Linked DNA regions of Rhinolophus ferrumequinum. The protein of the gene in region 2 interacts with the protein of the main gene of each other region in a biochemical or structural test. Links are inferred from orthologs where the notes say so. Each region holds a gene or a part of one and is shown on either strand. Other genes may lie near its edges.

Region 1 (12,049 bases), on a different chromosome or scaffold from region 2:
TTGCAGATGTCCTCCAGAGCCAGAGGCCAGAAAGCCAAGCTGAGACAGAGCTACTGGGGTCCCTCAGTCCTGCTCTGGGAAGCCCCTCAGCCTGCGCTTTTCCCAGTTGTCAGGAGGGGAGTAGGTTGGGGATTGTGGGGGGCCTGGGAACAGTGAGGCCTGCACGGTCTGTTCCAGTTCCCCCTGGCTCCCAGGCCCCTGAGCCCGCCCCCAGGGCTGGACTGCTGACCCGGCACATTCCTTCTGCCCTGGGCACTCAGCCACATCTCTGGAGCAGGAACTTGGCTTGTGGGGTGGCAGATGGTAGGGTTATCCCCCACATCCAGCTTCCTTGTGCTTCAGACCAACGGGGCTGCAGCCCTGGGTGAGGTGGGGCTCCAGCAGGTAGAGGACCATCAAGGGCTCAGGTGGGGTGGCCCTCAGCAGGTGAATTCCACATCGGGAATACACGTGCAGGAGCCCCCACAACCAGCCTCCCTCGGGCATCAGACTCTGGCAGCCTTGCTGCAGTGATGGTGATGGTGGCCACCATTCCTGAGGCTGGCCTTTGGTGACAAGCATGCATTCCAGAGCCGCCTGTGGGAGGTGCTAACCCTGGTCCTACCACTCACTTCCAAAAGGACAGGCTCGTTCCTGCAGCCCAGCAGGTGGCTGAGGGTTAAGTGGGAGGCGTGCCTGCCTCAGGAGGGGCTACAGGAGACCCCATCTGTGTGCTCCTGGCTTCTCTGGCTTTATCTCCACCCACTTAGTGGGTGTCATTATCACCCACTTCAGGGAGGACCAAAGAAGGGACTAGGGGGCCAAGCCCCTCCCCTGTATGGGTGGCCCCCTGCCCCGTGTGACTCACTCTTCCTCTCCTTCTAGGCTCTGTGGTCCTTCTGTCTTCAGGTTAGTGAGCACCCTCCCCCCTTGGAACCACGACAGATCCCTTCCCATCCGGCCATCCCACCCTGTACCTGACCCCTTGGGTCCCACCCGTCCCCCAGTGACTCCCCTCCCCACCAGGGCCATCTGGGTCCTCGACAGCGGGCAGCTCCGTGGTGTCCGAGTCCGCAGTGAGCTGGGCAGCTGGCGCCCGGGCCCTGCTGCGCTGCCAGAGCCCGCGCATGGTATGGACCCAAGACCGGCTGCACGACCGCCAGCGCGTGGTGCACTGGGACCTCAGCGGCGGCCCCGCCGGCGGCCCCGCACGTCGACTTGTGGACATGTACTCGGCGGGCGAGCAGCGCGTGTACGAGCCGCGCGACCGCGGCCGCCTCCTGCTGTCGCCCTCCGCCTTCCACGACGGCAACTTCTCGCTGATCATCCGCGGTATGGGACCTTGAACCGCGGTGGGGGCTCGGGGGCTGGGCCGGCGGCCGCGGAGCTCATGGTTGGTTTCCACGCGGGTGTGCAGCGGTCGGGGAGACAGACGAGGGGCTGTACACCTGTAACCTGCACCACCATTACTGCCACCTCTATGAAACCCTGGCCATCCGCCTGGAGGTCACTGACAACCGTGAGTGCGCCCCTCCCCCCCGGACTCCACCCCCGCCTGTCCTCACCTATCCCCGCCACTGTGGACGCCCCGCTCCTCGCTCCCTCCCCCGACCCGCAGTCCTAGCTGCCCCCCCTGACCCCTCCCCCCGCTGACCGACCTGCGCCCCCAGCCCGGGTCGCCGGCGCGCACTGGGACGGCGAGAAGGAGGTGCTGGTGGTGGAGCGCGGCGCGCCCGCGCTGCTGACTTGTGTGAACCGCGCTCACGTGTGGACCGACCGGCACCTGGAGGAGGCGCAGCAGGTGGTGCATTGGGACCGGCAGCCGCCCGGGGTCCCGCACGACCGCGCCGACCGCTTGCTCGACCTGTACGCGTCGGGCGAGCGTCGCGCCTACGGGCCACCCTTCTTGCGCGACCGCGTGGCGGTGGAGGCGGACGCTTTTGCGCGCGGCGACTTCTCGCTGCGCATCGACCAGCTGGAGCCGGCCGACGAGGGCACCTATTCCTGCCACCTGCATCACCACTACTGCGGCCTGCACGAGCGTCGCGTCTTCCACCTGAAAGTCACTGAGCCGGCCCCCGAGCCGCCCCCGCGGGACTCCCCAGGCAACGGCTCCAGCCACAGCAGCGCCCCCGCCCCAGGTGCAGGAGGCCGCCTTGGGCTCCTGGGGACGGCCTAGGGGCTGGGGACGGCGAGGCCCCGCTCCTCTCTGTCCCCCATAGGGGACGAGGATGTTAGCGGAGGGGAGGCGCCCCCCCCGCCCCCCCCCGCTGAGGCTGCCTGTGTTCCCGAGCCACGTGGCGCAGCAGGGGGGGCCTGCGTGGGGGTGCACCGGGTGGTCCGCTGCGCAGCACCCTCCCTGACGCCGCCCCTACACGGCCCTCGCAGACCCCACGCTAGCACGTGGCCGCAGCGTCATCAACGTCATAGTCCCGGAGAGTCGAGCTCACTTCTTCCAGCAGCTGGGCTACGTGCTGGCTACCCTGCTGCTCTTCATCCTGCTGCTCATCACGGTCATCCTGGCCACCCGGCAGCGCCGCCGTGGAGGTGAGCCAGCGCGAGCGCAGCGGGGACGCCGGCACTGGGAAGCCTTTCCGGATCGGAGGCGGGGCTTGGGGTGCGCTGCCGGAGCCGAGGGCCAGCAGGGCGCCCAATGAGCCTCGGTGCCGGGAGGTTCCTCAGAGCTGGGGAGGGGGCGAGACTACCCCCAACACGAGTCTCCCTCCCCAGGTTACGAATACTCAGACAAGAAGTCGGGGAAATCAAAGGGGTGAGTGCCCCCTCCCGGCTGTCCTAGGGGGCCAGGCCCCACCCCATCCGCCGCTCTAACCTCCCCCCACCCTCCCCTCCAGGAAGGACGTGAACATGGCAGAGTTTGCTGTGGTCACAGGGGACCAGGCTTTTTACAGGAGTGAGGATATCCAACTAGGTGAGGGCCTCCTACACACACACCAAGGCTCCGAGTGAGGTGCCTGGGCCTGGGCCTGGGCTGGGGGAGGTACATCTTGAGGGGGCGGCTCACCCTGCTCTCTCCCTGCACCAGATTACAAAAACAACATCCTGAAGGAAAGGGCTGAGCTGGCTCACAGCCCTCTGCCGGCTAAGAACATCGACTTGGACAGAGGTGAGTGGCTGGGAGGGAGACTGCCCCTGCCCGTCAGAGCCAAGCCCATGCCCCTCTCCACCCACTCTCAGAAGGCACCAGCCAGCCCCGCGGGCAGGAATCCCCTGCCACCTGACTGCTGCAGAAACCCTGGGGCCATCCTGCCAGATGTCCGCCTTGTATCCCTCCTTACAAAGGAGAGGCAGAGGGCAGCCACCCACCTGTTCCCTTGGTTTCCAGAGTTCAGGAAGGAGTACTGCAAATAAAGTGATTGGGGCTCCTGGCTGGCTGGCAGCTCCTGGCCAGCAGCACATCCTCCTGACTGACCATCATGCAGCTCACCTGGCCCCCCTTTTGGCGGCTGGTCCCGCCCATCCTGGAACTTTGGCCTGATCAGGTGCAGAGCAAGGTTGCCTCCAGACATCTCTCTAGGGAGCCACCCTCATCCTCCAAGCTACAGTGGGCTCCTGGGACTCTGCCAAGCATTGGGGCTGCACCGGCTGTGCAGGCACTCCCTGCTGGCCCTGTCTCCCCCTCTCCCCCCACACAACCTAGCCCTCAGGCTCTGCAGGCTTCTGCCCTATGGGAGAGCCCCGCCTCTGCAGGGGCAGGCCAGGAGACACTCTAGGAGTGGGGATCAGCCTCAGGGCTGGCACGCCTCCCTTCTTCTCCCCTTCTTGTGGGGAGCTGTCCTCCCCAGCCAGGCTGCCATCAGCTCTGCATGGGGACCTGAGGACTGCACACCCCCAGCCCTCGGTGCTGTGTCCGGCCACCTGGGGCTACCCTGGGGCCCTTTCTCTGCTTCCCAGCCTGCTCTAGCCTCCTTTCCTAAAAGCTGTCTTGACAGTCACTGGGCTCCTTGTGACTTTTGGCCCCTCCCTGGGCTGGAGTCTGGGGCTGCGTCATTTTTTGGCTTCTGTTTTATCTGAGGATGGGGGAGGGCTGATAATGGTTCTCAAGTGGCCTGTGTGGCCACTGCCAACACCCCCATTTACTCCTCCTGGTAACTTACTGCCTTCACAATAAAGACCATACCTGGTTTTTAGACTTGGTCCAGGTATACCTCTGCTGCTCCCTCTCTACTTCCAGGGCAGAGCTGGGCCATGGGACCCCAAAGCTGTCCTTCGCCTGAACTCCCACTCTCACTGCCCAGTTCTTGGAGTGGGGGTCTGGGTGCTGGTGTCCTTGGAAGAGCGGAGTTGCAGCCAGTTTCTCACCACTTACTTTCAGGTCGTCTCCTGAGGGTTTGTCTAGACGTGGGGGAGGGGCGCATGTTGGTGGACATGGGGACAGAGGAGGGCAGTGTTAATTCAGTCCCCTGAGAAGCAGATGCCAAGATGGGACTAGATATGTAAAGATGCAGGTGGAGGTAGCAGGAGGAGGCAGGAACACCTGCAGACAGGTGACACCCCCAATGGAGGGGGTGGGAAGGGGCTGTGGGAGGAGGAAGCCTGTGTCCCCAATCCTGACCCCATCCTCCAGAGCCCTCCCAGGACAGCAGCAGGCAGGAAAGGGTGACTGTCACCCTATGTTGGAAAACCCTTGTATGAAGAGGCAGCAGCCACCCACACAGGTTGGCATGCAAGCTCCCACTTTGGGGAAATGAAAACCCTGGAGTCATTTTCATGAAGGCATAGTGTCAATAAAGTCATAAAAGGAAGTAAAGTCACCAGCTTTATTACTTAGTAGATCCCAGAAACGGGGGTGGGAGGTGAGTTGGGGGAAGGCCAGCCCTCCATCCCAGGTCACCAGCCAGCAGGAGATGAGAGCAGGGTAGAAGCACCTCTTACTTACATGGTGGTTGGGGGGGCGGTCACTAATTTTTCAGCAGCTCCACTCTTAGTGGTTATTTTAGAAGGTGCCTGGGAAAAGCCGGCCAGGAATCTAAGCTCGAGTCCTACTCTGAGTCCAGACTGGTGTGAGTAGGATTGTCACATGAAATGCCGGGACAGCTACTCAAGTAGCTGTTTGCTCACACCCTCTCTCCAAGGACCCACAGTGACAAGGCAAGAAGGCACGCTGGCTTGGGGGCTGTGGCTTGTATGAGAATGTGCCTTCCTCCCAGCCCAGTGACTCCTGGCCCCACAATGCCCACCACTGCCACGGGCAAGGTCCCTCCTGTAAGGGCTCCGGCTCTGTCCACAAACTCACCCCTCCTTGCAGAGCCTGGCCTGACCACAGCGGTATCAGCTGGGATTGGCTACCAGCTTCTCTCCTGTGACTTGGACTGTCAGGTGGAGGCGAGAAGCTCAGGGGCATCAGATGCCCTGGATCTGTGTGACCAGCAGCCATTTGTGTCTGGTCTGGGGGGTGCTGGTCTCCCATGAGCTCTCAGGGCACGCATTGTCTCCCTCTTTCCCTGGACACACAGCAGAGAGCCGTGGTGGACCCTCCGTCTAAGGCTGCCCTGCCTGGCTTCCTCAGATTACCTCCGGGCAAACCGAGACCTAAGGGAGAAGGCCCAGGCTTTGCAGAATGGGTGCCAACCTCACAGAGCCCTGTCCGCTCTCCCCATCAGAGCCTAGGGGAATGGAGGGCAGGACCCCTGGCCTAGGCTGGCCTGGGGTTGGTCCCCAGCCTGGGCTCAGGGACTTAGGTCCAAACTTTGGATCCTCCAGTCACTGGTGGACTGGTGGGGTCTTTTCCTGCGGTGGCCCACTGCCTGAGGATGGTCATGACCAGGCATAGGGGCGAGTCCCAGGCTCCAGCCATCTTCAAGGTGGGTGCTGGGAAAGGGTCACAGGGCATCACAACCCCCCATCCCCATCACCTCGGGTCCCATCCTAGGGACGCTCCTCTTGTCACTCGCCAGCGTAGGACTCCCTCTGGTGGCCTCCAGTCTTCCTCTTGGGGTAAGGGGGAGGGAGAGCCACTCACCCCAGTGGAGGGCTTGACCCTTCACAGCCTGAAGGGCGTGGCTTCAGATCTCTCTCGACCCATGGAGGATCCCAGGCTGATTTGATTGACAGCGGCCGGGGAAGAAAAAAATGCCATTACCTGCTACCTGAAGCACCATGCCTGGGCACCTCTGTGCACACGTACCCGCACACAGCTGTGTGCTGACCCCTGTTATCTTGGCATCACATACACCCGCACTCCCCACTCCACCGCCCATTCACTTGGCCCGTGTTTCTCTGAGCCCCCGTGGGTCCCAGCAGAGGGCGCGCGATGTCGGAGCTGGCGCGGGGGCGCAAAGCGACCAGGTGTCCTCGGATCCGGGAGGCGACACAGTGTCCTCAGCTTCCTCCGAGGCCCCCTGCAGCCCGATGATGTGACCAGGAAGCTGCGACTAGGAAGCCTCCGGCCTCTGAGCACCCACAGACCCGGGAGCCCTTGCGAGGGGGTGGAGGGCCGGAACCCCGCCGAACCACACTCCCTGGAGGGCTCCCGGCGGGGCGGGGCGGGGGCCGGGGGGGTTCCCTTCTGACAGCTGGGGGCGCGAAGTGCAGGTGGGTCTCCACCCAACTCCCCGGGGGGCGCACCCCTGTCCGTCCAACAGCCCAGCGGGGCTGCGGCCCGCGAGTGTTGTGGGCGCCCCCGAACGCCCCGCCGCGGGGCTCGGGACTCAGGGAAAGCGCGCTGGGGGGCCGCGCGCGGGTGCACGCACCTTCGTCCCGTGCACCGTGGTCCCACCCCCCACGCACGCCCCGCCCCCCGCGCTTGCGCAGCCCCGCCCCGAGCCGCAGGCGGCCCGGTGACGTCAGGCGCCGCTGAGCTCTCGGGCGCCCCCCGCGGGCCGCGCGCTTAGCCGGGCGCCGGGCGGTCCCTGGAACTGCGCGGCCCGAGGGGGGCGGCAGGGCGCACGGACGCGGCCGGGCCTCGCGCGCTCCCTGCCTGCGTCCCGGGCCAGGGGCGGATGGGCGGCCGCGGGCCGCGGGTGAGCAGCCGGAGCGCGCGCAGAGCCGGGGGCGGCGGGGCGGGCGGGGCCGGGGTGGCCGGGCCGGGAGCGGCAGGCGGGCGGGGCGCAGGCCAGCGGCGGGGAGGCGCCCGCGTCCGAGCCCCGGGCCGGGCCTGAGCGCCGCGCAGGCCCCGCGCCCGCCGCCGTCGCCGCGCCATGGCGGAGACCAAGATCATCTATCACATGGACGAGGAGGAGACGCCGTACCTGGTCAAGCTGCCCGTGGCGCCCGAGCGCGTCACGCTGGCCGACTTCAAGAACGTGCTCAGCAACCGGCCGGTGCACGCCTACAAATTCTTCTTCAAGTCCATGGACCAGGACTTCGGGTCAGTGGGCCGCGCGCGGGGTCCGCACTTGTCTGCGCACGGACAGGGCTTTAGGGATCCTGGGGCTGCGAACCGGGACGTACCTTCGCGCCCTGCTGTGGTGTGTGTCCACCTGTCTGCGCGCTGAGCTGGGGACGCATGGGCCCAGACTGCCCCCAGCAGCCTGAGAGCTAGGGACGGTCGTCTGGCGAGTGTCCTGGCGTCTCTGCCCACCCTGGGCCTGGTCCTATGTGCCTGAGTGTGTGTAACCGGCGGGTCAAGGTCTGTGTCCCAGAGCCTCCCTGCAGTCCCACCTTGGCATCTTTCAGACTCAGGGCCCTGCTCCTTCCTGTGGAGGTCAGGTGCTTAAGGCTGACCTGGAGGGCTTGTGATTTATGGGGACTGGAGCCAGAGGTGTGTCACTGGGGAAGGGCTGGGGCTGGACTCCCAGCCACCCAGTGGGTACCCTAGTTAGCATGGGGGAAAAGAGGAAATGAGGTGATTTAGGACAGGGGCACAGACCTGTCTGCTGGGATCTGCAGAAGTTTCTGGAAGCTCAGGAAGCCTTCCGGCCCTCTCCAGTGTACTGCGGATAGGGCAGAGGTCAAGGGTCACTCTGCCAACCCCTGCCCTGGGGCTGCTTGCCTTTAGGCCTCTGTTCCTGCCAGGCCACACAGCACTTGGAGCAGCGTCGGGGTCAGCATCCCTGGGTCTGCTGTCTGCCTGCCTCGGTGGCTGTCTGCTCAGGGGACTTCCCACTTGCACTGGGCTGGGCCTCGGGGACTGTGAGCACCAGAGCTGGAGGCCGCTCTCTGCTCCAGGCCTGACCCAGCGCAGCCACCGGTAACCTGAGTCCCAGGCTCTGCAGTGCTGGGGAGGGGGCGCCCGAGGGCCCAGCAGGTGTGCCTGGCTGCCGTCAGGCGGGTAGGCAGCCGTCAGGCGGGTAGGCAGCCGTGCCCTTGTGTGTGGCTGCGTCTTGGGACTTTGACATTGAGGCCATTTCCTGGATTCTGTGGTTTGCATGGGCACTGGGTGGCCCAGGTCAGGTCTGGCTGGTGCTACTCTGCAACTCTCAGGGACCCGAGGGACATTTGGACGACTGAACTCTCTTGGGCCCCCCCTCCCCAAGGAGAGGCAGAGGGGAGGGTGTGTCCCTGGCAGGCTGGGAAGGCTGGACTCCCCTCCCCCTCCCTGCCCTGCCTGCTGGCCTTCCTGCTGGGCTCTGAAGGTGGGGCCCTGTTGGGGGGGGGGGTCTGGTCCAGCCTCCCTGCCCTCCTGGGCAGTCTCACGAAGTCCCTGCTCCTCTGGGTCTGGGTTGCTTTGACTGTGATTATTGGCTGTGTGAAAGGGGACTTTCGTTTTTAACTTAGCTTATTATTTTAACAAAAGTTACCAAAGTCACACATGCTGTCTGTCACAAACCGAAGCCAGCAGGGTGCTTGTGTCTGTGTCCCAGAGCCTCCCTGCAGTCCCACCTTGGCATATTTCAGATTCAGGGCCCTGCTCCTTCCTATGGAGGTCCCCTAGACCCCCAGCTTGCTGCCCTCAGAACATGCTCTGGTGCATCCCAAGAGGCCTGCTGCTTCTCTGGTGCCTGCTAGCCACTGTGGGTTGCCCACGAGCTGCAGAGACCCCCACCCACATGCACTCCCAGCGGAGGCTGTGCCTATTGGTGGATTTGTAGGGCCTGTGAGTGTTCTGGCCAAGGAGGCAGGTGGACAGGCCAGTGTGAGTCTTGGAACAGGCCTAGAGTTCTTTAGACTTTCTGGAAATGGCTGGGATGTGGGAGGGAATAGCACTGGGTGGGAGGCAGTGGGCAGCTGTGAGGTCCAGGTGGGCCAGCACAGGGGATGGATTGGGGTGACGTTGGAAGGCGCAGTCACCCCAAGTCACAGAATGGGGGAGGTTTACCTTGTTTTCTCCCTGGATCTCTGGCTGGTGGCCGGGTTGCCTCAGGAACGGGAGGACCCCCACAGCTGCCTCCTTTCTCTCCTCGCCTGAGATCTGTCTGCAGAGCTCCAAGTTCTAAATCCCAGAGTCATTTATTCAGTGGGATAAACCCCTTCTGGGAGGTGTGACCCATTACTCATACTTATTGCAAAGGACACCTAGGGGCCTTGTGGACGGAGTGGAGGTGGGGGGAGGGAGGGCAGCTCCCGCTGGACTGGAGCAGTGCCCCCCACCCCATGACAGTGTGGCCTCAGATCAGGGGCTGTGAGCCTGGGCCTCTTGCTCTGGCCACCCCCACCCCACTGTGGGCTGTGCCCTGAGCTGCCTGAGCTTCTGTTCCTGACCACAGCTGACCACCTGGTAAGGGAAGCAGGAGTCTGCGGTGGGGCCACGTGTGCTGGACCAGGACCCACTCCCCACCAGTGTCTTTGGCCAAGTGGGTAGAGGGTCCTGTGCCCCCCTTTTCCCATGCAGGTCATGGCTGTTCTGACCCAGCAAAGCTGGGCAGGGTCTCTGGGCCTATGCTGGGCTGGCCCTGAGCTGCGAGTGTGTGTTTGGTGAGTGGTGGTATAGGGAGGGACCTGAGCCCAGTTCATGGGCTGTGAGGTGGAAGGTGAGGGTGTTGGGCTCACCGCTCCCTCTCCCAGGGCTGCCGGGCTGGCCTTGGCACTTAGCTCTCCTGGCCGTGGCCCAGACCACTCCATCTCTGGGCCACATGGCTTGTGGGCCCTGGCTGGTGCGGTGCGGGGATTGCGAGGCAGGGGGTGGGCGCTTGGCCTGGCTGAGTCTCCCTCTGCCTTCCGCAGCTGTGCCATCTGGGGTCAGTGGCCCCCGGAAGTGTTGGTCACCCCCCAGAGCTGTGGCAGGGTGTGGAGGACTGAGCCCCCCTTGTCCTGGAGCCTGCAGCGTCTGAGCCTGGGGAGGGCTCTTTGAGGAATTGGGGGACAGCCCTTTTTCCCCTGTTGTGTGCCAGCTCTCTCTGCCAACTCCCTGTTGTGTGGTGGTGGGGGGGTACCCTCTGCCTCTGGGCACACACTTAGGGCCGTCCCACGGAGAAGGACTGGCTGTGGAGTGCTGTGGCCGTGGGAGCCCCTCGGTCCTCCTGGGCCCTGGGCTGTGCTCAGCTCCAAGGGCCCTGCTTGCAGCAGATTCCTCACCAGGGCGAGTCTGCGGGGGTGGTAGGCGGGGCGGGGCGGCCACAAGTCTGAGGTTAAGTGGGATCTTGCCAGGAATTCTGAGGTCGGGGCAAGATGCCACCAGAGGTGCCTGGGTGGCCTTCTCCGAGGGTCAGTGGAGACTGCTCCCGAGGTCTGCTCTCCCACCCGGTGAGGCCGGCCCAGGAGGCAGCCTCAGAGTGGCTAGGAGGAGTTCCCCCCGACCCCCAAGCCGACCTTGTCCCTCCCCCAGGCTTCTAGGCCAAAAGTGGGCAGCGTCTTGCATCCCACGGAGAGCCTATGCCCTTATCCTGGGGCTCTGGCACCTGTCCCTGCGTCCCCTCTGTCCTGGCCTCGCGGGGCTGGGCCTGTGGTGCCCCCCGCGCCCCACCCGCAGTGGAAGACAGCATGCTCTGTTGTGTGCTGTGGGACGCAGGCTCCTCAGGCTGGGGGGAGGGGCCGGGGAAGCAGGACCTCTGGGGACTGCCTGGGGGGCTCAGCGGCCTCAGGCAGCCCTGGGTGATGGGTCGTCTTCAGGCCTTGGCTGGGTGAAAGCAGGGGCTAGCCTGGGGAGCCAGGCAGGCCCTGCAGCATGGGAGTTCGGGATGCTCTTCTGGCCCCCTGTGTGTGAGTCTGAAAGGACGGGAGCTTGGATGTGGAAGGGAGGCCTCAGGTGGGGCCATCTGGGCTGTGTGGGGACCAGGGCCCTCCTGGGTCTCTGTGGCTGCCATCACGCAGAGATGGTGCTCTCAGCCCACTGACCCCCTGTCTGTCAGCTGCAGCGGGCAGAGTCCCAGGTGTCCCCCGCCACCTCAGGTCCTCTGTGGTGACAACCTCGCGTGTCCTTGGCCGAGTTCTGGATGGGGTCACGGCCTGCCCTGGAAGCTCAGCTCTGCAGAGCTGTAGTGTGGATATGGGGTCTGCCCCTCACAGGGGAGCAGGGGTCCAGAGAGGCGACCTTTTCTGCCAGTGGGGGTGTCCACCTTATTGGTGCATGTGGGGCTGGCCCTGGGAGGTGTCTAAGGGACTGCCGCAGGAGCCTGGCAGGGGTCCTCTCCCCCAGGCTGGCCCTGTCTCTTCCATCCACTCTGGGGCCCCCTCCAGAAGACTGGGTGAACTGAGGCCTTGCTCCCTGGCTGGGAGTGTGGGGTGCTGGCCAAACTGAGGCTGCTTCCTTCCTGGTCTTCTGCCTCCCGTTTCTCCGCTGGCCCAAGTCTCAGGCTTGGAAATCCCCCTGTGCTGGGCAGGGCTGGGCTCCAGGGAGCACGGTGTCACGGTCCCCTCCCGCTGCAGCCTCCAGCCCAGCCTGCCCTTCTCCCTGGGCCTCCAGGAGGCCGCAGAGACACAGCCCCTCCACAGCTGCTCCTGTGAGCTGTGCTGGGTGCTTACCCCTGCCTTTGAACCTGAAACCTGGACCCCCACAGCTGTTTCTGACCCCAGGGTCGTCAGTCTGCTTCTCAGTCAGGGAGCCTGGCCCCGTGCATCCTGCCTTCCCTACCCCGCACGCCCACCTGACCAGGGCAGCTTTAAAAACCTGGGCTGTGCTGGGCAGTGACCTCCGGGGCTAACTTCTCAGGGGGCCCAGCTGTCCTCCCAGGTCTTGAGTTGAGCTGGTACAGCCCGTGGGGGTCTGCTTGTCTCCCTGGCTGGGCAGGTGGCC
Region 2 (12,141 bases):
TATATATTATATATATGCACTGAAAACTAAATAAACGTTCACTTTGTATTAAAAAAATTTATTTGTGATCTGTACATGTGATAAAGTGGGGCTTCCTTGTAGACTTTTAAAGGCAAAACAAAACAAAAATCCAAAGTAAAAATGTATAAATACAATATATATTTTCTTACAAAAATGGGAGATTTACAAAATATACATACTGCACTTGTCTCTATTTTACAAATTTCACATGCAAGAGATACAACACAAAAGATGCCAAAAAAACTGTGTGGTGGGAGTTCTTAAAATTTGACAAATGAGACAGTTTTGGAGGTTTAAGAAACACAAGGTCAGTGTTAACCTTAATATAAAAAGCAGCTCCACTCAACTGAACATTACATACATAAAGTAACTTGTACTCCTGACAGTACCCTCTATAATTTAAAAACTGTTTCAAACAGCATTTAAAAACTGTTTTGAGAAATAGGACAGTGGTGCAAGTTTGGAGGGTGGTGTCAAAGGTGGAGGAAAGGTTAGCTCCCATGATTCTCTGCTCAGCTTTAGACTATTATGCAAAAGAATCAGAGTTCTATTTTAGAAAAAAAAAGTACATGATTTAAGATTAATAAATTTAAGTCATCCAGCACATTTCAAAGAACTCCAAAATTACTTTGAAGTTCACCTCCTTTTAATGACTTTCCTTACAAGGAGGGGGGCGGCTATGGTTTTAACTGTCCTCTTCATTCACAATCATTTCTACAGGTCACCTCCCCACCCACTGACACAATGACAGGGTCAGCATACACATGATGTTTTATAAATGGATTTATGGAACTAAGAAAGCAGGACAAAGTGGTTCTTTAACTTTCCTGTATTATGGAAGCTGAAGGCATTATGCTCTTCCTTTTATTTTGAAGGATTCAAATTGGAGGAAAACAATACAAAGAAAACCTGAATGCAGGTTTACAGGAAGGAAAAAAAATGAAGGGAGAGATTTCCCTGAACATCTTAACAGAGCCCATTGGATCATGTGTTCTGAATTGAATTTATGTAAAACAGCACAACAAAACCCCTTGCATTTCCTTTAGCCAAGTCAGAACCTCTGACCAACCAGGGTTTGGAAGCCCACTGCCTTTCACTTTTCCTTAAAAAGGAATGTTTACCTCAACCAAATATCCAAAGGGAAACCTTAGATTTGTGCTACTTTGCCAACAGAAGTTGCTGTCTTCACAGTTATGCCTTTCCACAGAGAGACACTTTTGTTTCCTCTTTTGTCTCTTACAACAAAGACAAGGGGAAAAATGCATTCCTGTTTTGAAAAGCAACAAGTCATCACTTCTTTTCAGGGTATTAAACCGAATAAAACACCCTTCTTTCTTTCTCATGCTTTGTCCAGAAAATACAAAAAGTAGCCGAAATACCTACTGCTCAACTCCTTTGCATCATCTCCAAACGCTATCTTCATTTCTTTTGCACCCTTACTTTTAGGATTCTAGGAGGCAGGCCTCCCAAGTCTTCCAAATGCTTATTTTACAAGACTTGAAAGGAGTAGGGGAAGAAAAACCGGCGGGAGGGGGTTGGGGAGGAGAGAGTGTAATGTCTGACCCTGGAAATTAACCCATCTGGGCTCCAGTTTGGCCCCAGTGAAAAGAGATTATGGTTTGACCACCGCTTGACAAGGACACCGCAGGGAGTCCTCCCTTTTTCCAACAAAGCGGCCGCCGCAGACAGAGCTGTACCTTTCACCCGAGCCTCACAGGAGTGAGGACAGTCCACTTGTCTTGCAGCAGGGGAATCGCTCCCAGTCCCACCCAGTTCAGCCGGAGCCAGGAAGAACTCACAGAAATCTCTGCTGGTCTCAGTCTTCTCCATGAGCCCAGGTCAATCGGTACCGTACAAGATTAACGTCATTTTTATCATCATCATTATTATTCTGCGAGTCTTTGATTTGCCAAGTCTTTTCATCCAAACCGTCTTTCCACCCAGGCCTCCTTTCCAAACCAACCCCTCGTCCCACATCTACATATATGTTTTCACTTCCAGGTCACTTCTCATTGGAGGGGGAGGAGGTTACAGAAACAAACCTCCTCACTCAAAAGTTCTTTCCCTACCTTGCCTTTCTCCCTACTAGGAGTGGGGGGGGGGAGGGAGAGTGAGAGAGGACCAGGGCTCATACCGCAGTCTCCCCCTTACTGCTGTGGCTGAGTCTGTGGTAGAAGCGGCGCCACGACTGCAGGGTCTTGCCGGACCAGATCCAGAAGCCAGTGGTGATGCCCACGATCATGGTCATCAGGTACTTGATCATGAAGACGGTGAAGTCGGGACTCATGGGCGGGAAGTGGCCGGGCGGGCAGGGTACCGCGTAGCTCTTGCAAGTCTGTAGGAGCCAGGTGCGCTCCCAGTGTTCGCGGAAGGCCTGCTCGTAGAAGTAACAGGCTAGGACAATGGTGGCCGGCACGGTGTAGAGCACGCTGAAGACGCCGATGCGAACCATGAGCTTCTCCAGCTTCTCGGTCTTGGTGCCGTCGTGCTTCATGATGGTGCGGATGCGGAAGAGCGACACGAAGCCAGCCAGCAGGAAGGACGTGCCGATGAAGAGGTAGACAAATAGGGGCGCCAGCACAAAGCCCCGCAGCGCGTCCACGCTGGACAGGCCCACGTAGCACACCCCGCTGAGCAGGTCCCCGTCCACCTGGCCCATGGCCAGAATGGTGATGGTCTTGACGGCGGGCACCGCCCACGCGGCCAGGTGGAAGTACTGAGAGTTGGCCTCGATGGCCTCGTGGCCCCACTTCATGCCAGCCGCCAAGAACCAAGTGAGCGACAGGATGACCCACCAGATGGAACTGGCCATACCGAAGAAGTAGAGCACCATGAAGAGGATGGTGCAGCCCTCCTTTTTGGTGCCCTGCGCCACCGTGCGGTAGCCATCGTCTGAGAAGCGCTCCACGCACACTGCACGGTCCTCCAGCAGGAAACCGGCCACGTGCGCCACGGCCACCATGAAGTAGCAGCCCGACAAGAAGATGATGGGCCGCTCGGGGTAGCTGAAGCGCCGCATGTCCACTAGATAGGTGAGAACCGTGAAGAGGGTGGAGGCGCAGCACAGCACTGACCACACACCTACCCAGAGTCGAGCAAAACGCCTCTCCTCCTCCTTAAAGTACATGAGGCCGTTGGCGCGGCCCGGCTCGCACGGGGCACCGCAGTCGCGCTCGCCCAGGAAGCGGTAGCCCAGGTAGGGGGGCACCTTGAGCTGGCGGGGGCACGAGAAGGGAAACGCGGAACGGCCCCTGCCATCAGCAGCCCCCGGGGGCGGCGCGGTGAAAGGCAGGTCGGGCATGTAGGCTGCGGTGGGGTAGGCGGTAGGGCCGCCGCCCGGGCCCCCGGATCCGTCCGACGTGTTCTGGCCCACGCAGATCTCGCCGGCGCCGTGCACCGGGAAGTTCTCGCAACGCAGCCGCTCCGGCCACTGGAAGCCGAATTTGTTCATAAGCGCTTCGCAGCCCTGGCGGGCACGCTCGCAGAGAGAGCGGCACGGAGGGATGGCCTTATCCAGCACAGTGCACACGGGTGCGTACATGGAGCACAGGAAAAAGCGCAGCTCGGGAGAACATTGCACCTTCACCAGTGGGTAGAACTGGTGCACCTCGAGGCCCGCGTCCTCTTGGTTGGTGTGGCCCAGCAGGTTGGGCAGGATGGTCTGGTTGTAGGCGATGTCCGTGCACAGCGGGATGGAGATGAGCTGGCAGAAGCCGTGGTCTGGCACCGAGATGCCCTTCTCGCCGTGGTACGGTTGCGCCCGGGCGCCCGCGGGCAGCGCGCCCAGCACCAAAAGCACTAGGGTGCATAGGCCCACCGGTGAGCGCGACGCGGCCGCGCCAGGGCCCCGCATCGCCGGCCGCGGGTGCAGCAGCGCTCTCAGCCGGAGGAGCGCGACGAGGCAGCCCGGAGAGGCTTGGATCCCGGGAGGCGCCACCGCGCCCGGCGCATTAGAGTCCTCCCGGCGCCGGGGCCGGGCCGTGGGCGGCGCGGAGCCGAGGGCTCAGAAACTGGGGTGCCCGCGCCGCGGGGGCGCCGCAGCCGCCTCCGCCCAGCAGTCGCGAGGCAGCGGGGGGCCCAAATTCGTCTGCTTGGGCCGGGGGCGCCGCCTTCTCCTGCCGCGACGTAACGGTGCGGCTTTTTTTGCAGCGGGGAGCAACAAGCGTCTCCGGTTACCCTTCGAAGTTTGCCCAAGTCTCTCGACTTAACAGCGCACAGTAACGCGCGCGTCCCCCACACCAAGTCCAGCCCCCGGCAGGCGAGAGCCGGGCGCCGCCGCCTGCTAGTCGAGGCCGCCGCCTCGGTGGTGCTGCTCCGCCTCCTCGCCTCGAGGCTCTGCTCGCCGCCGCCTCCTTCACTCCCTGCTCCTTCTTCAGCTCCAAAAGCTCGGCCCCAAGTTTCAGCCAAACGGCTGATTCTCGCTCAGAGTCCAATAGGCGCCTTGAAGCCAAGAGCTCAGCGAGTTCTCTTTGGAAATCCAGTTACACTGTGTCCGAAGCTGTGAGGCCCCCGTGCAAGCGGCCTGGGCCTGGCCTCTACAGCTCCGCACAGCCCTGGCCGGTGAGTCCAGGCGCCCACCGCCGCCGCCGCCCGCCGGGAGGGAGTGCAGAGTAACGCCTCGAAGCCTCGCAACTCACCAGAAGAAGCGTCGAGCTTGCAGTGTTCCGGGCTGCCCCGCCCCCTCCGCTCCCCCCCATTCACAAACCACTCTGGGGGCGGGCTCTCGAGTTCTAGGTGGCCCAATGGCAGCCTTTGTTTTCTGTGTGACCACCTTCGGATTGGGTAGAAGTCGGAAGGGGCGGGCGAGGGAACCTGAGAGGCGGTGTCTGCAACGCTCTGGGCGGATTCCTGAGGGGAGGGGCAGGGGGCTGGGAGAGAAAAGTTAAGAAAAACTTTTACCCTTTATTCGCTCCGGAGTTGGGTGGAAGGGGGTGGGTGTGGGGTACACGCACCAGAAAGGGAGTTTGCTTGAAAGATTTGTTCCTCTTCCGGGTATACTAAAATACACATTCCTGAGCAGAAGGGCGCATCGGGATAGACTTTTGCAGGGAGAAGCTGAGAATAGCGAAGCGCCAGAGCGGAGAGACGTGACCCGGAGTCACGTTAGCCCTGCTTGGGCTGAAAATGCTGGCTTTCGCCCCGGTTTTTTTGGTATTCAGATCCTAAATGTGGGGTTCGGTATGGGCGAAAAAGGGGGTGTGCCTCGCGGATCGCTTTTCTTTTCCCAAACCCAAACAGACCACGTGAGGCCATAGTCCCCTCTCACCTCCACTCCTGGTTGTAAAAAGGAGGAGGGGCCGCGTCCGAGGAGAAATCGGAGTCCAGTGCTGAGGGGGCAGACTTAAGGCGGGAGGAAGAGCAAACCCCTCCTAGGGGAGAGGGCCCGGGAGCTGCGTGCGCCGGGCACCCCGGCCCCAGGCTACCCCGCCCGCGCGCACGGCCCAGAGTATAGTAGGCATCTGGTGTAGCTTTAGTGAGGTTGTAAGAAAACTAAGTGTTGGCGGAGGTGGGTGGGTGGGTGGGTGTTGGTTATAAAAGTAACCTGAGATCGAGTGCCCAGAACACTGTACGGTTTAAAGCGAGTCTTCAATTGCCCTGATTTCCCTTGTTCTTCGGCATGTGGCCATTGGGGATCCCATCTTCGTTGCAGAAGCAATAATTTGATCTTCTATTTGGAATATGGGTAGAAAAGTTTTAATGCGTGTTAGAAACCAGGGCATTTGCTAATTAAAGAGTTTTCAAAACAAAGAAAGGTTATCCTTGTTCTTGGGTAGCGTTTTCTGATTGGCAAGCGTTCTTTTGTTCCCGGTCAAATCTTCGCTGGGCTCAAGGAACCCCGCGCTCCCGCGCGTTCTCTGGTTACTCCCGACGAGGTCAGAAGTTACTCGGCTCAGGGGTGGAGACGCCTCTCCCTTCTCGACCGACAGCGAGGAATATCAGGAATTCCCATGCAGGAAAGTGACATGTTGAGAAAGGAAAAATCTCTCACTCTCTCTCTCTCTCCGTCTTTCACACACACACACACACACACACACACACACACACACACACACACACACAGAGCAATCGTATGCTTTAAAAAACGTTACTCCTGGCTGAGTCCTTCCTTCTGCCAGTCTCAATTCCAAGCGCTGGAGCTCTGAGGGATTTCTGATCAGGTTTCGTGTTTGCAGAAGTTGCTTCCTCTGCTGCCCCCGGCGAGCCTCTTCTCCAGCAAGAAAAAAATGATCCTGAAATCTAAGACAATTAACTGAGTTCCTTTCCATGAGAGACTTCGGCTTCCTCTGTTTTTCTTTTATTTATTTTTCATTACTGAAATTTACTGGAAATCTTTCCTTCCAATTCACAGTTCTTTGTCCTTTCCCACTCCTGTTAATGGGTCTGGAGGTCTGAATCATTTGCGCCAATTTGGGCATCAGACCCTCACATTCTCCATCCGTCCCTCAACAGGAGTCCTCATCATTTTCCTCCAAAGCATTCGTTTCCCCCTCACATCCGCGACGATATTTTTTCTTTGGAGGTTTCTGTCTCCTATGTGAAGGATGAGTGATACTTGCTTTAAAAATGTTTCATTCTTTCCTTGCATTTTTTAAAGGGCTTCTCTTTTTCTTTCTAAATTATTCTTCTTCGTACCTAACATTGGGGAACATTGATGTTGTGTTCAAAGATGTTGTTTAAAGACAATGCTGTTGCTTTGCTTTGTCATTTAAAGTGGTGGGGGGTTGAAAATCCTTTTTTCTCTCCGGGAGCTTCAGGATATCCTCCTTTTCTAAATCAAATTTTCATGCTTATTCATCAGGTCCCCGATCTAAGTAACCTTTGCTTATTGAGGGAGAAATTGCAAGCACTGTCATCAACTAAAATGAAAACCGACAGGATAAAATACTGTATCTCCAATACAACTAAAACCAGTTTAGTTGATGAGCTTCTACTCTTCATATTATAGACCAGACAACTCCCTGATGTTAGGTAATAGGGATAATTATTTAGAAGAAAAAAGAGAGCCCTTAAAAAATTACCAAAGATGGACCTAGAGAACATTATGTTAAGTGAAATAAGTCAGACAGAGAAAGATAAGTACCATATGATCTTACATATATGCGGAATCTAAAGAAAAGAATAAGTGAATGAACTAATCAGAAACAGTTTTGGAGACAAAGAGGAAAAACTGAGGGTTGCTAGATGGGCGGGGTGGGGGTGGGTGGGGGTAAGGGGGAAGGTGAGGGGATTATAAAACAATCAGTAACCACAAGATGGCCACGGGGTTTTGAAAATTAATCTGGGGAACGTAATTTAGTGGTTACCAGAGGGTAAGGGGGTTGGGGGGTGGGAGATGAGGGTAAGGGGGATCAAATATATGGTGATGGAAGGAGAACTGACTCTGGGTGGTGAACACACAATGTAATTTATAGATGATGTGATACAGAATTGTACACCTGAAATCTATGTAATTTTACTAACAATTGTCACCCCAATAAATTTAAAAAAAAATTACCAAAGACATAAAATATTTTAAAAACAAAACCCATACCGGTCAGAAAATATCGTAGATGGGAGTCCTTCTTGGTCTGCTCCAGGCAGACAAGTGCAAAAAAAACAGAGATGCAAAGGCCAATTTATTGGAGAGTGTTTTATTTTTTTATTTTATTTTAAAAAACCCACTCCAGAATTATTCTGGAAAATCAGAATTTGCTGTTTGTGAGAGGGGTACGGTAGCTTTCCACGCCTTGCCTGATAAAGAATGCTATGATTTCAAGGAGCTAAGTAATAAAAGGGAGTAGATCAGAAAAGTAAGTTTACAATTTAGGGGCTAAGTACTCTGTTTTAGGCTTTATGAGAAACATAGTAACATTGGTTCACATTGTGTCCAGGATCAATTTAATTTTCTTTTCCAAATAACACCTTCCACAGCCAACTCCTGAAGCCACTAACTGGTATCTTCTTTGGTGCATGAAGGGTGGAAATTTTTGTAACTGTCTACTACAAAAACTTCCAATTATCCCTGCCCTTTAAAACAACAAAGGCTTTTATTTCTTCATATTATAGTCATATGGTCCCACAGAAAAGTGATGCTATTCATTGGCCCCAGTTATTTAAATGCTACTTATTTTGGCCAAGTCCCAGGTTCATTTAGTTGAATTACATTCTGATGTCAGGCCAGATTTGAAAATGGCCACCTTTATGGTGCCACAATCCTGTGGTTGTAGTGAAACTTCAGCAGCAAGAATTACTCATGCAAGACCAGAAAGGGCTGCTTTTAGCATGTACTTCTCTTTCTGACCTCTCTTTTACCAATTTGTGACTTCATAACATGAAGGACTTGGAATTTCCAGCCGCCAGGTTGCCGTTGACTTCTTCTCAATTTAGTTTGGGGTGTTGGATCACTCCTAAAATGGGAACATTCTTACCCCTAATGCAGACTTTCAAGTGTTATGAAAGTTAGAGATGTCTGGATTGAATAAGGGGAGAACCATGCTAAAGTCCTGTTAGGTGTGCTGGCCCCACCCAGTAGAGATGTAAATCACCTCTACTGGGTGGGGTCTAGCACACCTAGAGGTGAAAATGTTTTCCCATTTTCCCATTTCCTTTGTTGTTTGAGGGTTGTATTATCTATTGTCATATAACAAATGACCCCAAAATTTAACAGCTTAAAACAACAAAATTTTAATATTCACAGTTTCTGTGTGTCAGGAATCGGTTTGCTTAGTGGGTCCTCTGGCTTGGGGTCTCTCATGAGACTACAATCAGCGTCTTGGGACTTATGTTAGCTCAAGGTTCGATTGGAAACTCACTCATGTGGCTATTGGCAGGCCTGAGAGTATGCATTTCCAACTCATCACGTGGCTTTTGGCAGGCCTCAGGTTCTCACTGGTTGTTGGTCAGACATCAGTTCCTTGCCATGTAGGTTTCTCTTAAGGCCATGTAAAACATGGCACCTTGCTCCTCCACAGCAAGTGCTCAGAGGGAGAAAGAGAAGGGGAGAGAGAGCGAGCAAGCACAAAACATGGCAGTCAAGATGGAAGTCATAGTCTTTCTGTAACCTAATCTTGGAAGTGACATCCCATCACGTTTGCCATATTCTATTCATTAGAAACAAGTCATTAGGTTTACCCACACTCAAAGGGCAGCAGGGGTTTCATCTGGGCATGAAAACCCCCCATTGGAGGGTAAGGATCTCTGGGAGCCACTTTAGAGATGGTTTACCAAAAGGATAATTCATTCATTCTCAAAGCATAATATTATGGAGATGAGGCCACAGAGAGAGACAACTCTTGGGTCTCTGGCCTTGGGGAGTCCAGAGAAAGGGTCACAAATAAAAACACATGTTGATAGGTTATGATGCCACTTGCCTCTCTTAGAGTCAGAACAGAACCCAAACTCTGACCAACTCTTTTTTTCAAACACATGCCATTGGACTAGAGGGAGAAAGAACGCGGAGGAAGTTGATTAATAAAAGACCATCTGCAATCCTGAGGGAAAAACCTCAAAGTGCAGAGGGTGGGCCATTTTGAGGAGTCAAATCTATACCCAAAAGACAGAGCACTGGGACCACAGTCTGTAGAAAGAGACTGGCTGTTTGGGTTATGCGGTGAAAGCCGTGTTGGTAATTGCTAGCCATGCCTTTAATGCCAGTCTGTACAGTACAGATGTGTAGGAAGGGTGGCAGAGGTGGTTTGTACAGATAGGTTTGGTCCTGCTTTTCACCATCGATTTTCTGTCTGGACTCAGGCAAGTCACTTAACCTCCCTTGTTCCCCCAGGGTGTTGTGAGAATAAGATAATATTTACCGAAATGCTTTGTTATCTATAGGCAAAAAATCATGAGGGCAGAATCCTGCTTTGGTTATATGGATGCAAATCATAGAGATAAAATGAAAGACCAAGTTACTGTGTTTCCCCGAAAATAAGACCGGGTCTTATATTAATGTTTGCTCCAAAAGATGCATTAGTGCTTATGTTCAGGGGATGGCATCCTGAAAATTATGCTAAGGCTTATTTTCTGGTTAGGTCTTATTTTCAGGGAAACACGGTAGGTGCATTTTTTTGTGGCCTTGGCTTTTTGCTGAGGTTGTGAGTTTTTACAGTGATATCCTGGTAAACATTTAATGACCGGTTCTCCAGGACAAAAAAGCCCTCGACATTTGCCAGTTTCCATGGTGTAAATATTGCTAATATAGCTGATTTCAAGCCAACACAATGTCACTGAATTAGGAGTTTGGAAAAGGTGCACATACTCAGCTTTCACAATCCCCTAAGAGCTGGCTCTAGCACATGCCTGGGTTCACAGAATTTATTCTTTTCAGATTATTTTGGGCATCAAAAATATTGATGCTTAGATTATTTTGAGCATCTTAAAATATTTTTAATAGAATGACTACCATTTATTAGGTACCAGGTGCTTTAGGTACGCTGTCTCTAATTTTATAACAATCCTTTGAGGTTCCAGCTATAAGCTCCTTTTTATAGTAGCAAAGCCTGGCCTAAAACCCAGATCTATATAACATTTTTGCCTTTATACTGCACTGCTGCTTGATGTCTTCATGGTGAACATCACTAATTTTTGTCCTTTACTGGGTCTTATCAAAAGCCATTCCAAAAGTGAAAGAAGCGCCAGAATTCCTAGGCTTGGAATATCAAGTCCAGATTGGTGATGATGCCATGAATATTAGACCTATACAGGTTTCCAGCCTGTATTTTTTCTAATTTTCCAAGGAACAATATGATTCCCATTGCTGAAACTGCACCAGTGGGAATCTAGATGAGGGTATGTGGGAGCTTTGCTCTAGCCCGCTGTGCAGGTGGTAAACTCGACAGTGTATTAGGCCTTCCCCATCAGAGAATCTTGGCAGGCCATGACAGTCAACAGAGCTAGCAGAAGAAGCTGCAGGAACAAGACCATAGTAATGAAAGCTCCCAGGGAAACTTCTAGAAGAATGAAATGGGAGCTGGAGCAGTGGATCCCAAATCTGGATGGTCATCAAAATCACCTGAGGAGTTTAAAAAACATTTTTTTACCCCCAGAAGTTTGAGTCAGAATCTCTGGTGTTGGACTTGGGGATTTAATTTTTATAAGCTCTCTAGGTGATTCTTTTGAATTATCAGGTTTGAGGACCACTGACCCAGACTCGTATTCCAAAGCAATGCGTTGTGTCACTGATGTCTTGTAGAATATCTTTAGTCTTGCATAAGGTCTTTACTCTACTTGATTACCTTTTGAACTGAAGGATAGAATAATGAGAACCATAATGAAGAATGAGGTAATGTAGTGTGTGTGTGTGTGTGTCTGTGTGTGTGTGTGTGTAAGAGAAGGAGAGAGAGAGAGAGAGAGCGATGGTTGCATAAATGTGTGGTTGCATGGTGTGATGTTGCGTCTGGGACCTTATTTATGAGTCTCAACAAGTTCACAGTGGCTATTCTAAATGTAACACCTGTTACTCCCACAGTTCATTCACAGGATTTCCTAAGACTGACATTGCCATCCTTGTACCTTGTACCACAGGACCCCTCACCTCAGTTGATTGAGCCAAGAATAGGAAAGCATCTGACCTAGCCATGAATTTGTCTGGCATGAGACCTCTGTCAACAGGTGTGCCCACTGGATATTGAGTAGCCACCCAGTCATTTTATTTGGGGAGCCTGAGTATAAAATATACTAGCAGAAGCTGAGAGACATTTGGTGAGAAGGGAACAAGCAAAAACCAGGAAGTAGTAGAAGCTTGGAGGAAACAAGAGCCATGAGGCAGTGAGGTAAGTAGAGCAAGTAAGTAGATGATGGTAACAGGAGATGAAGACAGAAAGACAGGATAGCAGAGTCTTCTTGTAGTAGAATGCTACAGGAAGAAGGAAGGAAGGAAGGAAGGAAGGGATGTGCTCACAGGTGTGGAAGGTTGCCCTCTGAGGATCAGTGCCAGCCCAGGAGAGGCAGCTGTTCAGAGCTGACTAGCAAGGCTCAATCTTGCAGCCCCCTACATCTTGCTCAATGTTTTATATACAGAATTTGAGAAGATACCTCTTAGGACTGCAATTGATATTGAGTTGATTCAATTGAATGATTGCAAAGTGTTGCAAGATAGGAATTATCTGTGAAGACCCAGGTGATCTCTTTCTCCTGAGTTGATAT

What was found.
Region 1: the proteins of FZD7 (region 2) and DVL1 form a complex in vitro, tested with the Homo sapiens proteins (2 studies listed by BioGRID and IntAct, with this or other methods). The link is inferred for Rhinolophus ferrumequinum from reciprocal best matches to the Homo sapiens genes FZD7 and DVL1.

The regions. Positions count from the first base shown.
Region 1 is NC_046292.1:490,630-502,678, reverse strand, and holds the start of DVL1 (segment polarity protein dishevelled homolog DVL-1), read left to right. Parts: upstream 1-7,061; 5' UTR 7,062-7,136; coding exon 7,137-7,306; intron 7,307-12,049. Other genes in the region: MXRA8 (matrix remodeling-associated protein 8), read left to right, coding at 865-888, 1,006-1,311, 1,397-1,498, 1,650-2,120, 2,368-2,526, 2,710-2,749, 2,832-2,908, 3,023-3,103 and 1 more. UniProt on the Homo sapiens protein: Participates in Wnt signaling by binding to the cytoplasmic C-terminus of frizzled family members and transducing the Wnt signal to down-stream effectors. Plays a role both in canonical and non-canonical Wnt signaling.
Region 2 is NC_046291.1:29,487,466-29,499,606, forward strand, and holds FZD7 (frizzled-7), read right to left. Parts: upstream 4,855-12,141; 5' UTR 3,875-4,854; coding exon 2,150-3,874; 3' UTR 52-2,149; downstream 1-51. UniProt on the Homo sapiens protein: Receptor for Wnt proteins.